3 linked regions of the Schizosaccharomyces pombe genome follow. Each later gene encodes a partner of the first gene's protein in a complex. Each region holds a gene or a part of one and is shown on either strand. Other genes may lie near its edges. A codon is read from its position in the direction of its gene.

Region 1 (2,786 bases):
ACATAACTTGTCAAAGTTTAACCACCGTTATTTCACTAAATATCCCACGGTGTTTCTCAGTGCAGGACCTTTATTCCTATCTTATCAATTTTGTAAATACTTACTTACGCCGCATGAACCAGTGCGCGTCTTACCTGCTTTACTTTATGGAAACGGACCTAATTCATTTTTTTCACATGTTACTGGTGATAGCTGGCATGGCACTGATGCTAAAGTATTTATTTGGATAGACCGAAATTCAAAATCTGTCTTATTTTTTGCTTTTTTGGCTGCGTTCGCTATCCTTTTCTTATGTCTAAGAGTTGTCTTTAAACGGAGAAGGAAACGTGGAATTGCGGCTTCTCACTCACAAATACAGGAGCTATATCCCTAGTCCCTTCGTTTCTATAGATGGGCTAAATGGGTGATTTGGCTATTGAAGAAATTCAAAGGTAAAAGAAGTGTATATTATAGTTTCATTTGATGACAACTTGAAAAAAAAAAATGATGCCAAAGTCATCGTCTCTGTGTTTGTTTAACGAAAACGGTTTTTTTTAAAGGGCTATAAATTACATTTACTTCTAAATGATACATCAATATCTACAAATATATATCCTTCATTGAACTCTGGCTCTTCTTTTCAACATTAGCATAAGAACTTATTATGTATACACGTGTTTGTATTTTTTAACGATAATTTGTATTTTATGCAAATTACTTTAACCAATCTTGTACCATAATCGTATATCGTATTGAAGGGCTAGAAATCGTCTCTAATCATCTAAAGCAGAAACATATAAGACTGTTGGACGGTAGTTAGGAAATCAAAGCACTTTAATATAAATACCATACCATTGTTTCCACGAATAAATGCATCTCCATAAACATTCGTCTTCTTGCCATTAACGTATTCTTCTGTGCGTTCAAGGGCCAAGTTCATATAACCATCAAGACAACTGAGGATTCCTAAAAAACAGGTTTAGTATTAACAAACCCTAAATAACGGAAAAAAAGTTAAAGCGATAGAAACAAATTGCAAACTTGCATTGTCTCCGACGCAATTCATGTTAAATACCTTTATAGTCGACACCAGAACTTAACCGGATAAGAACTTTTTTGCCGATGACCTTATTCAAAAACTCATTAGGAGAAGAATCCATTATCTTCCAGTTGGTTTAGAGAATTCAGCCTTTGAAGGGTTTTCTGTGAGTCGTAAATTGAAGTAGACACCAACTACATTGGTAACCTCAGTTCAGGGTGCTCTTGCATATAATGAAGAATAGCATTATGTGCAAAAATGTATACCGTGCAAGACTACACTACTTTAATATACACTTCGTTGCGTATCACTATATGTGATATGTTGGAATATCAGTTGAGATCTGGTTATTAATAATTATGGGTAACTATCCGCTAACTAAATAAATTTTATTAAAAACACCCTTTAGAACAATTATAAATAGAGGTACAGCTGAATCTCGTTCCTCAGTTTAGTTAAAGCTATATTAATGATAGGTAACAATAGATCGTACATAAAATATTATATATGTCCTCGGTTGCTACTTGTATTACCTGCTTTTTGCAATATTGCAATATAATAGATCATAAAGCTCATTGCAGTTCTACACATCGTTAAAATTAAATAACAAACTGCGTAGTTAGTATTTATGTGTGTTAAAGTATTGTGACACGTTCTGCTAACACTTTCAAGTTTACTACTTGCATTGAACATTGCTTGTCTTCTCTAAATTATTTGTACATAATAATCCATCCGAGCTTTGTGCTTTACATTAAGAGCAGCTTCACTACTTCTTCTTTTAAAACTTTGCTTCGATGGTTGCTAAACAAGAATCGGTGGTTGCACCTCAAGTTGATGTGTCAAAATGGAGTGGGAAGGAATTGGAGTTGGGCAAAAAGGTTAATGAATACGCCAAGTCATTAGCTACGTTTAAATATCCTTTTTTTATTCCACCTCCCTATCCTCCTGCTAAGCCAAATATGGCCTTGTCTACCCAAGTTAATAAGATGAAGCAAACTGCAAACGAGGCATTTAAACGCAAAAAGTATGAGGAGGCAAAAAAGTTATATGGATTAGCATTACAACTCGCTTTGAATCGCTGTACTTGGGAACCGTCGATTCTTACGCGTGAAGAAGCAAGTGTTATGTTGTGTAATCGGGCGGCTGCTGAGATTGCCCTTTCCCAATTCCCCGAAGCTTTAGCAGATGCAAATGCTGCTTTGAAAATTCGAAATAATTATGGAAAGTGTTATTATAGGAAAGCAAAGGCTTTGGAGGCAATGCATCGCATAGAAGAGGCTAAACAGGTTGTACGAGACGGTTTAATTTTGGCAGAGCCAGTTACGAGAAACGAGTTGGTGGCTTTATGGGCAAGTTATACTGAAAAAGATTAAAACCAACTGTATCATGGTTTCAAATGATCATTGGATTTGCACGCTCCTTTTATTTCCTTTCTTTGTGTTGTTTCATATTACCATAAACACTTACGGCCACATAATTAATCCATTTCAAAATTAATACTAACTTGATATTATTGCCAATTCATTTAATGCTCAGGTGATTGTAGCAATTACTGTATACAAAAGACCATCCCCTAGCACATCATAAATACGGTGGTTTTGAACATGAATCTAAGTTTCGATTGTCATTTGTTACCCTATAGTCAAACAACAATGTTATAACTTTCCAAAGGATTTATTGAGTAAAACGGTAACTTTTTTGCTTGAAAGTTAGTTACCATCTAAGTCACCCTTCTTTGCCTTATAGCAAAAGTATTATACAATGCAAA
Region 2 (3,209 bases), on another chromosome or scaffold:
AGTTTAATGGTTTTAGCTGAGTTTTGTCGTTTTTCTCTAACTATTTAGGGATAAGGGAAGAGAGGATTCAAAAATTTCTTAATAATCCAAATGTATAAATGATGAGATATATAAATCCAAAGTATTAAACTTCGTTTTCATTTTAATTTTACTTTTTCGTTTCCTTCATAAAACTGCTGAAGATACTAATTCTCAAAATTTTGAGTTTACAATAACAAGGTTAGTCACTTTAGTTTATATTAATGATAAACAACAAATATTCATACTTTTTCCAGTGTATAATCATAATAAATCCCCATTTTGGCCAACATGAACAAAAAAAAGTCAGTATGATTCAACCAGATGGGCTGGAAGAGATAACTTGAATAGTAAGATCCTGTAAAGGCTACTCAAATCAATGTTTAGTATGTTGTCTTTCAAATTAGAAGAAAAATTGCTATCATCGTAGGCTATGCATATCCCGTTTATGCCAATTTCTACAGTCAGATTACATTCAAACAATTAACTTTAACACAGTTTACATCATCTGAAATAACAATTCATTTTGGTAGTATAATTTGAGATACAATCACTAATAGGAAAAATTATGGAGGATGGAAGTATTAAGCCTTTATTTTTGAATAATCACTCATTTCAGAAACATGCAACCAGTCCTATAAAATACCTTATTTTTGCAATCAAATTCTTTAAATAACTCGATCAAATTTAACCGTATCCGAAGACATGGCTTTACCAACGCTTGTTGTTCAATTAATGTAAAAAGTGAGACTTGGGTCTAGATATTTTACCATATATGGAGTGCACACAGTATGAGCTAGATTTGGCGTGCAATATATCTCCATTTGTTTGATAATAACAAAAATCACTCTTCCTTCATCTTCAAAAGACTGTTAAATAGCCAAGTACCAACTTATTCGGGTTTTCCACCAGGAATCAACTAGATAGTTAGTGTACAAAAATTCCTTTATTATTTTCATTGACATACCATGCACATCCCATTTCCGTTCAAAAGCATTTCAGAGTGTTTTTCGGTAACGCCGGTAACAGTATCACTTCATAGAAATTAGCAAAGATAATTAAAGTTATTATATTTCATACTATTCTGTAACATCTTTTAGAACAATATTCACATAATCATCGAATCCAACAAGTGTCCCCGCAAATTCGCGTTCACTTTTCATGATCACCCATAAGTTTGATCCAATGCATTTATCAATTAATTCTGCTTGTTAGCATGAACAGATTTACCCAGGGCATAAATCAATAATTTTTCCCTTTTCTTATTATGAAACTAATTTAGAATGTACTAATAAATCTACATACCTAAAGGTAAAATTGTCATCGACATGGTGGAGGTGGATTGCAAGTTCACATAAATTGCTACTATACAAGAACCATGCTATCATTTTACCTGAACACATAGTGTTAAGGGAATATCATTTATTGGAATCTTGAAGATTTTATAAATAAGAGGTTATCGTTTCATTAAAACTGTGGACATCTTATTCGGTCTTATTTTTTGGTCTTGTCGTTTGTCAAAATTACACAGTTGTCGAATAGCGATCCATTTCTTTGAATGAATCCAAGCTAAAGCTGTCTAGTTATAACTTACCCCAAGTATTTATTGCTACGATCAGGAATTAGTTATCCACATATTTTAGCCACAAAGTTCGTTAAATAATTAAGGTTTCCGTACCTGGTTCTCATATTCTAAATATTTGCTATTGCTATTTCTTAGTACGGAAAGTATAAGAGTTGGTTTTTTGCCTTCACTTACTTATAACGTTCACTACTTAGCAAGTGAACTTTACAAGCAATATTCCGCATGGATGCAAATCAGAAGTTATTAGATTTTGCGAAGCTTTTAAATCAAAAGAATGATTCTCGTCCTGTAATTGAAAAATTGAAGGATAATATAAGTGGTGATTTATTGAATTACTTCCTCAATCTTCTAGAGGAAATCTCAAAGTTGGATACAGACCAACCCTTAAGTGTTACCTCTCTACGATGTTTGCAGCTTTTTGTTCATCTTACATTTTTGCTTGGTGTTTATACTCAACTCCCCAAAGAAATGCTATCGCAAGCGAAAATTAAGGCATTACCTATTTATACCCCCAAAAAAAATCTGGTCCAAATTTACAATATTTTACTTCCTTTATTGTTAACTCCAAGTTTATTACAAGGTCCACTTAACCTTCACTATGCCGACTTATTGTTGCTTCATTTATATTTGTTGAACTGCCATGAACAAGGTTCTCTCATTGAAGAACCCAGGCCTTTATTTTTAGACCCTTCATGGAAAGAAAAAGTAACGAGCATAATGTCTCCACAAATGGTTGATCCATCTAAAATGATTTCTTCTTGTTTATCGCTATTACAACCGAATGTAGATAACTGGTTGCAAGATAAATTGAAACATTATTTAACTACCTGTCTTTGTAGAGAAACTGGCGTGCAAGGATTTCTCAAAGTTTATATGCAAGCACAGCCAAATTCAATCGAACGCGCACGACAGGCCGCTCATCTGATTTCATCTGTTCCAAAGGATATCTCACCACAGAAATATTTTTCGTGTATTCTTCCTCAGGTTTGGAGCCTTTTCAGCACTCAACCTCGATTAGCGTCACAACTCATAATTGCTGTAACAAATACACATTGTGATATTGTTACCTCTTTTCTTCTTAAAAAGCTCCAAATACTCGAAGCACCGAAAGTCATCGATTTATCCCCATTTGAAAATGCATTGGACGTTCTTCAAGTATTAGTCTACATTCAAAACGATGATATAATTCGCATATGTGAATCTTGTGTACCAAGTCTTTTGCACTTACAGGAGAACACAACTTTACGTTCTAAAGTTCAGGATATCTTGCTTCGTATTATATCAGTCTGTGGTACCAAATCGCTGTTAAGGAATTTAACAAATGCAAAACATCTTCGTATATTTTGCGAGAGACTGACAAAATCACAATTAGCAATGTTCCTGCCTAACTTGTTAGAAATATGGGTCCAGCAGCCACCAGACAAGCGTTTGGAATTACTCGAACTTGTTCAATATGCCCTGTCTAATGTTGATTCAGATGAAATTCCTAGTAATGTAATGCTGTCTGTCTGCACTAATCTGATCAATGAAGTGGCTAGTCAAAATAAGTATTCCTCTACAGAAATATCCCAGATTACTACTAACCGAGAAGTTGAAGAAGAGAACG
Region 3 (3,137 bases), on another chromosome or scaffold:
TTATTTGCAACTGAACATTCATGGAATCCTCTGGTTGTCGTTTATTTTTCTAATCGAATTTTCGGTGAATGTTGGGACTGAGCCATTTTGCTAACTGTTTTATGATTAGGAAGCGATCGAGAGTTTAACTGGAGAATCGTCAAGAGTCGATAGAAATTCAAAGCTTGGATTAAGTTTCGGCGTCTTTCAATCTGTTTTTTCTTTGCTATTCAGTGGGTTGCACAAACTATGGATGATTTTGTCAAGGGTTCCTCTGATTTCAACATTTATCCCCATTTTTGGTACTACTAAGCGTGTCCTTTCTCCTGCAGACACTGCGAACAAGCTGGTTCAGAATTTAGAAGAGCAATACGGTACTGAGCATATTGATTTTTTTACTGATGGCGGCTACATGGAAGCGTTGACACGTATTAAGCGTAATTATGGAGTCGCATTGCTTTTCTTTACTAGCTCAAAGAATGATGACTCTGAGACGTTTTCCAGGAGTGTTCTTATGAACCAAGAGCTAAAGGAATTTTTAAATCGTCGAAACATTCTTTGCTGGACTGGTGATGTTTGTGAGGATGAGGCTTTCCGAGGTTCTCGTCAATTCCACTGCACTAAATTTCCCTCCGCAGTCCTTGTTATGTATTCACCTCAGCTATCTGAGCTTGTAGTTGCCGCCCAACTCCATGGATGTCTTGATAGTTCCAGCATCATTACCAATCTAACTAATGCTTTGGCTAAACATCTTCCTTCTCTTGAGCGTTTCCGTTCGGAGAGAGAAGCACGAGAAGCTGCTCGCGAGTTACGACGTCAACAAGACAATGCCTATCAAGCGTCCCTTGCCCGCGATCGCGAGCGTCAAGCTTTCGCGAGAGCAGAAGAAGAGCGTCTTGCAAAGGAGAAAGAAGAAAGAGAAATCGTTCAGAAAAAGAAAAAACAATATCGTGCTTGGCTTGCTTCTAATCTTCCACCGGAGCCATCATCTGAAGATGAACCTGCTCGTCTTTCGATCCGTTTTCCCGACGGATCTCGGGCTGTTCGAAGGTTTAAGAAGGATGATACTGTTGAATCCGTTTACAACTATGTGGATTATATGCTTTTTGAAAAAGAGGAGCCTGAAGAATTCGGTCGCGCTACTTCATCTTCTAATCCGGTCACTCCACCAAGTGACTATAAGCATGATTTTCATTTTCAACTATATTCTTCTTTGCCCAGAGCTTTGCTGAAACCATCAGTGGCTATTTCTACTAACAAAGCCATCTTTCCAAATGGCACTGTGGTGGTGGAGCTGGATGATTGAAATTAACAAAATTGTTTGTCTTTTTAAATCATAATGACAATTTACGACTATCGACGTTTCGAATCCGTTTTTAAATACATTTCTAAGATTTGATGTATGATGAATTTATTTTCTCTTTTCTATTTCTACTACTGAATTAATTGTTGTTTATGGCATGAATGTCTACTGGACGCATTGACTTTTTATTTTGAGCAAACTTTCAATGCACCCTTTAATCTGAGTACATAGTCGATTTCCACTAGATTTTCTGTTCTTTGCCAAAAACCTTTTCTATGCATGTCATCTTCATCTCTGTTTTCTACGATTTTCTTTGCAATGGAGGACAAAGGCTAGTAATTTAGGCTTTGTAGCATAAAAGTTTTGCCAGCTTTCGTCTGTGATGAGTGAGGTATGTATTATGAACATAAATTTGTTTAAAATATAAATCTTTCTTTATTGCAATTCGAAAAAGTCTAGTGGCTTTGTTTCTAAACAGCTTAAATTTTACCTTTAAACTTTCATTAATGTTAAATTTTTATATAATTAATATACAAATTAGTGCATTAGATTCACTTTATGTCAAGCATTATGACCCCAAGCATGGAATTTCTCAACGTTTCTAACAAAATTGGAAAAGTAAAGCGGTGAAATTATTTCCTTTCAGACTGAGCAAGTTTATTTTACATTCCTTTCTGTAGCGTGTTTTATATTCCATTTACTGCTATGTCTTAAGTCATTCAAATTGAACCATATAAGGATACGTTCGATCACGTTACAATCATCGTAAAAAGGAGAATCGTCAAGTTGAACCTGTACTTTATTCTTTTCTGGGCAATAGCTGATAATTTACCTGGTTATTCTAGATACAAAGAATGTCCAGTCTTCAAAAACGCCCTGGCCCAGGTAACTCTAGTCAACCGACGTAAGTCTAGCAGGAACGAGCAGCATCATGAGTTTTGCTAACTTTCTTAAATAGTGAAAGACCAAGAAAAGAATCTATCCTTGATCTTTCTAGATATCAAGATCAACGAATTCAAGCCACGTTTACGGGGGGCCGACAAATTACCGGTATTCTAAAAGGATTCGATCAGTTGATGAACCTTGTACTTGACGATGTAGAGGAACAGCTTCGCAATCCTGAGGATGGTAAACTTACTGGAGCTATTAGAAAGTTAGGTCTTGTAGTCGTTCGTGGAACAACTTTAGTTTTGATTGCTCCCATGGATGGTTCTGAGGAGATACCGAATCCATTCGTCCAAGCTGAATAAAAAGCCACAAGCCCTTCATTTGATGTTTGACTATTGTTAATAAAATACTACAAGTTAATTATTATACCGCATGTGCATGTTTTGCTTTGAAGGTTCAAAGACCCAATTCGGAAAAGTGTAAAAGCAATATGTGTTTAAAAGAATAAATTCGATTATTAAGATGATTTTCTCTACGCATATGTTTAAATTATTTAATCCATGTTTATTCCCAGTTAGCTTGTTATCACATTGCTATATAATTTATCTAGTCTAAATAGATATATGCCATTGAATAAAAGTATATTAATGCCAAAAAGTTTAGTTCTTTTCTTCCTTCAAAACTGAAAATGAGAATTTAGGTAATTCCTGGGTGCTTTCCATTGTAGAGAGATTCTCCCCATTCTCTTTTGGCAAAACCGTGAACGAAAACTTGGGAAAAGGTTCCTCTTCTAGGGAACCTTGTTTGTCAGTTTTTTCGAGCGTCATAGTGGCATCTTGCTTATGTTCATTCGTGCCCTCAGCAGAGGGTTTCTCGACTTCAACTAGCGAAGTCGATTCCGATACTGAGATAGGGCTTTTCTCAGCTTGCTCAAAACTCCGTTGATCAATAGCAACGTTCGTCATCT

What was found.
Region 2: the proteins of lsm6 (region 1) and lsm5 are in contact, whole or in part, in a crystal structure (PDB 3SWN), measured with the Schizosaccharomyces pombe proteins. Residues at the interface, in NP_594380.1 of Schizosaccharomyces pombe: Ser3 (codon at 1,133), Ser4 (codon at 1,130), Pro5 (codon at 1,127), Phe8 (codon at 1,118), Leu9 (codon at 1,115), Lys11 (codon at 1,109), Leu18 (codon at 1,088), Arg20 (codon at 1,082), Met38 (codon at 919), Gly64 (codon at 841), Asn65 (codon at 838), Asn66 (codon at 835), Val67 (codon at 832), Leu68 (codon at 779), Tyr69 (codon at 776), Val70 (codon at 773), Ser71 (codon at 770), Ala72 (codon at 767); in NP_596373.1 of Schizosaccharomyces pombe: Met23 (codon at 1,181), Arg27 (codon at 1,169), Phe29 (codon at 1,163), Val34 (codon at 1,148), Gly35 (codon at 1,145), Phe36 (codon at 1,142), Asp37 (codon at 1,139), Asn41 (codon at 1,127), Val43 (codon at 1,121), Glu49 (codon at 1,103), Glu58 (codon at 1,030), His60 (codon at 1,024), Glu62 (codon at 1,018), Met63 (codon at 1,015), Leu64 (codon at 1,012), Leu65 (codon at 1,009), Asn66 (codon at 1,006), Asn68 (codon at 1,000).
Region 3: the proteins of lsm6 (region 1) and lsm7 are in contact, whole or in part, in a crystal structure (PDB 3SWN), measured with the Schizosaccharomyces pombe proteins. Residues at the interface, in NP_594380.1 of Schizosaccharomyces pombe: Leu21 (codon at 1,079), Tyr27 (codon at 1,061), Cys33 (codon at 934), Asp35 (codon at 928), Tyr37 (codon at 922), Asn39 (codon at 916), Ala41 (codon at 910), Glu47 (codon at 892), Tyr57 (codon at 862), Asp59 (codon at 856), Ala60 (codon at 853), Phe61 (codon at 850), Ile62 (codon at 847), Arg63 (codon at 844), Asn66 (codon at 835); in NP_588340.1 of Schizosaccharomyces pombe: Ser24 (codon at 2,260), Asp27 (codon at 2,269), Leu28 (codon at 2,272), Tyr31 (codon at 2,281), Gln37 (codon at 2,299), Thr39 (codon at 2,305), Thr41 (codon at 2,311), Gln45 (codon at 2,323), Gln55 (codon at 2,353), Leu56 (codon at 2,356), Met57 (codon at 2,359), Gly90 (codon at 2,458), Thr91 (codon at 2,461), Thr92 (codon at 2,464), Leu93 (codon at 2,467), Val94 (codon at 2,470), Leu95 (codon at 2,473), Ile96 (codon at 2,476), Ala97 (codon at 2,479), Pro98 (codon at 2,482).

The regions. Positions count from the first base shown.
Region 1 is NC_003424.3:3,922,941-3,925,726, forward strand, and holds lsm6 (U6 snRNP-associated protein Lsm6), read right to left. Parts: upstream 1,187-2,786; 5' UTR 1,140-1,186; coding exon 1,055-1,139; intron 946-1,054; coding exon 832-945; intron 782-831; coding exon 753-781; 3' UTR 646-752; downstream 1-645. Other genes in the region: inositol phosphorylceramide mannosyltransferase activity Imt1, read left to right, coding at 1-373; sec67 (translocation subcomplex subunit Sec72), read left to right, coding at 1,813-2,391. UniProt on the Schizosaccharomyces pombe protein: Component of LSm protein complexes, which are involved in RNA processing and may function in a chaperone-like manner. Component of the cytoplasmic LSM1-LSM7 complex which is involved in mRNA degradation by activating the decapping step.
Region 2 is NC_003423.3:3,299,443-3,302,651, reverse strand, and holds lsm5 (U6 snRNP-associated protein Lsm5), read right to left. Parts: upstream 1,358-3,209; 5' UTR 1,349-1,357; coding exon 1,324-1,348; intron 1,223-1,323; coding exon 1,099-1,222; intron 1,053-1,098; coding exon 986-1,052; intron 938-985; coding exon 911-937; 3' UTR 517-910; downstream 1-516. Other genes in the region: RNA polymerase II nuclear import protein Rtp1, read left to right, coding at 1,826-3,209. UniProt on the Schizosaccharomyces pombe protein: Component of LSm protein complexes, which are involved in RNA processing and may function in a chaperone-like manner. Component of the cytoplasmic LSM1-LSM7 complex which is involved in mRNA degradation by activating the decapping step.
Region 3 is NC_003421.2:1,816,288-1,819,424, forward strand, and holds lsm7 (U6 snRNP-associated protein Lsm7), read left to right. Parts: upstream 1-2,078; 5' UTR 2,079-2,136; coding exon 2,137-2,186; exon of another isoform or gene 2,187-2,240; coding exon 2,241-2,532; 3' UTR 2,533-2,637; downstream 2,638-3,137. Other genes in the region: dsc5 (UBA/UAS domain-containing protein), read left to right, coding at 110-1,285; nucleoporin Nup60, read right to left, coding at 2,830-3,137. UniProt on the Schizosaccharomyces pombe protein: Component of LSm protein complexes, which are involved in RNA processing and may function in a chaperone-like manner. Component of the cytoplasmic LSM1-LSM7 complex which is involved in mRNA degradation by activating the decapping step.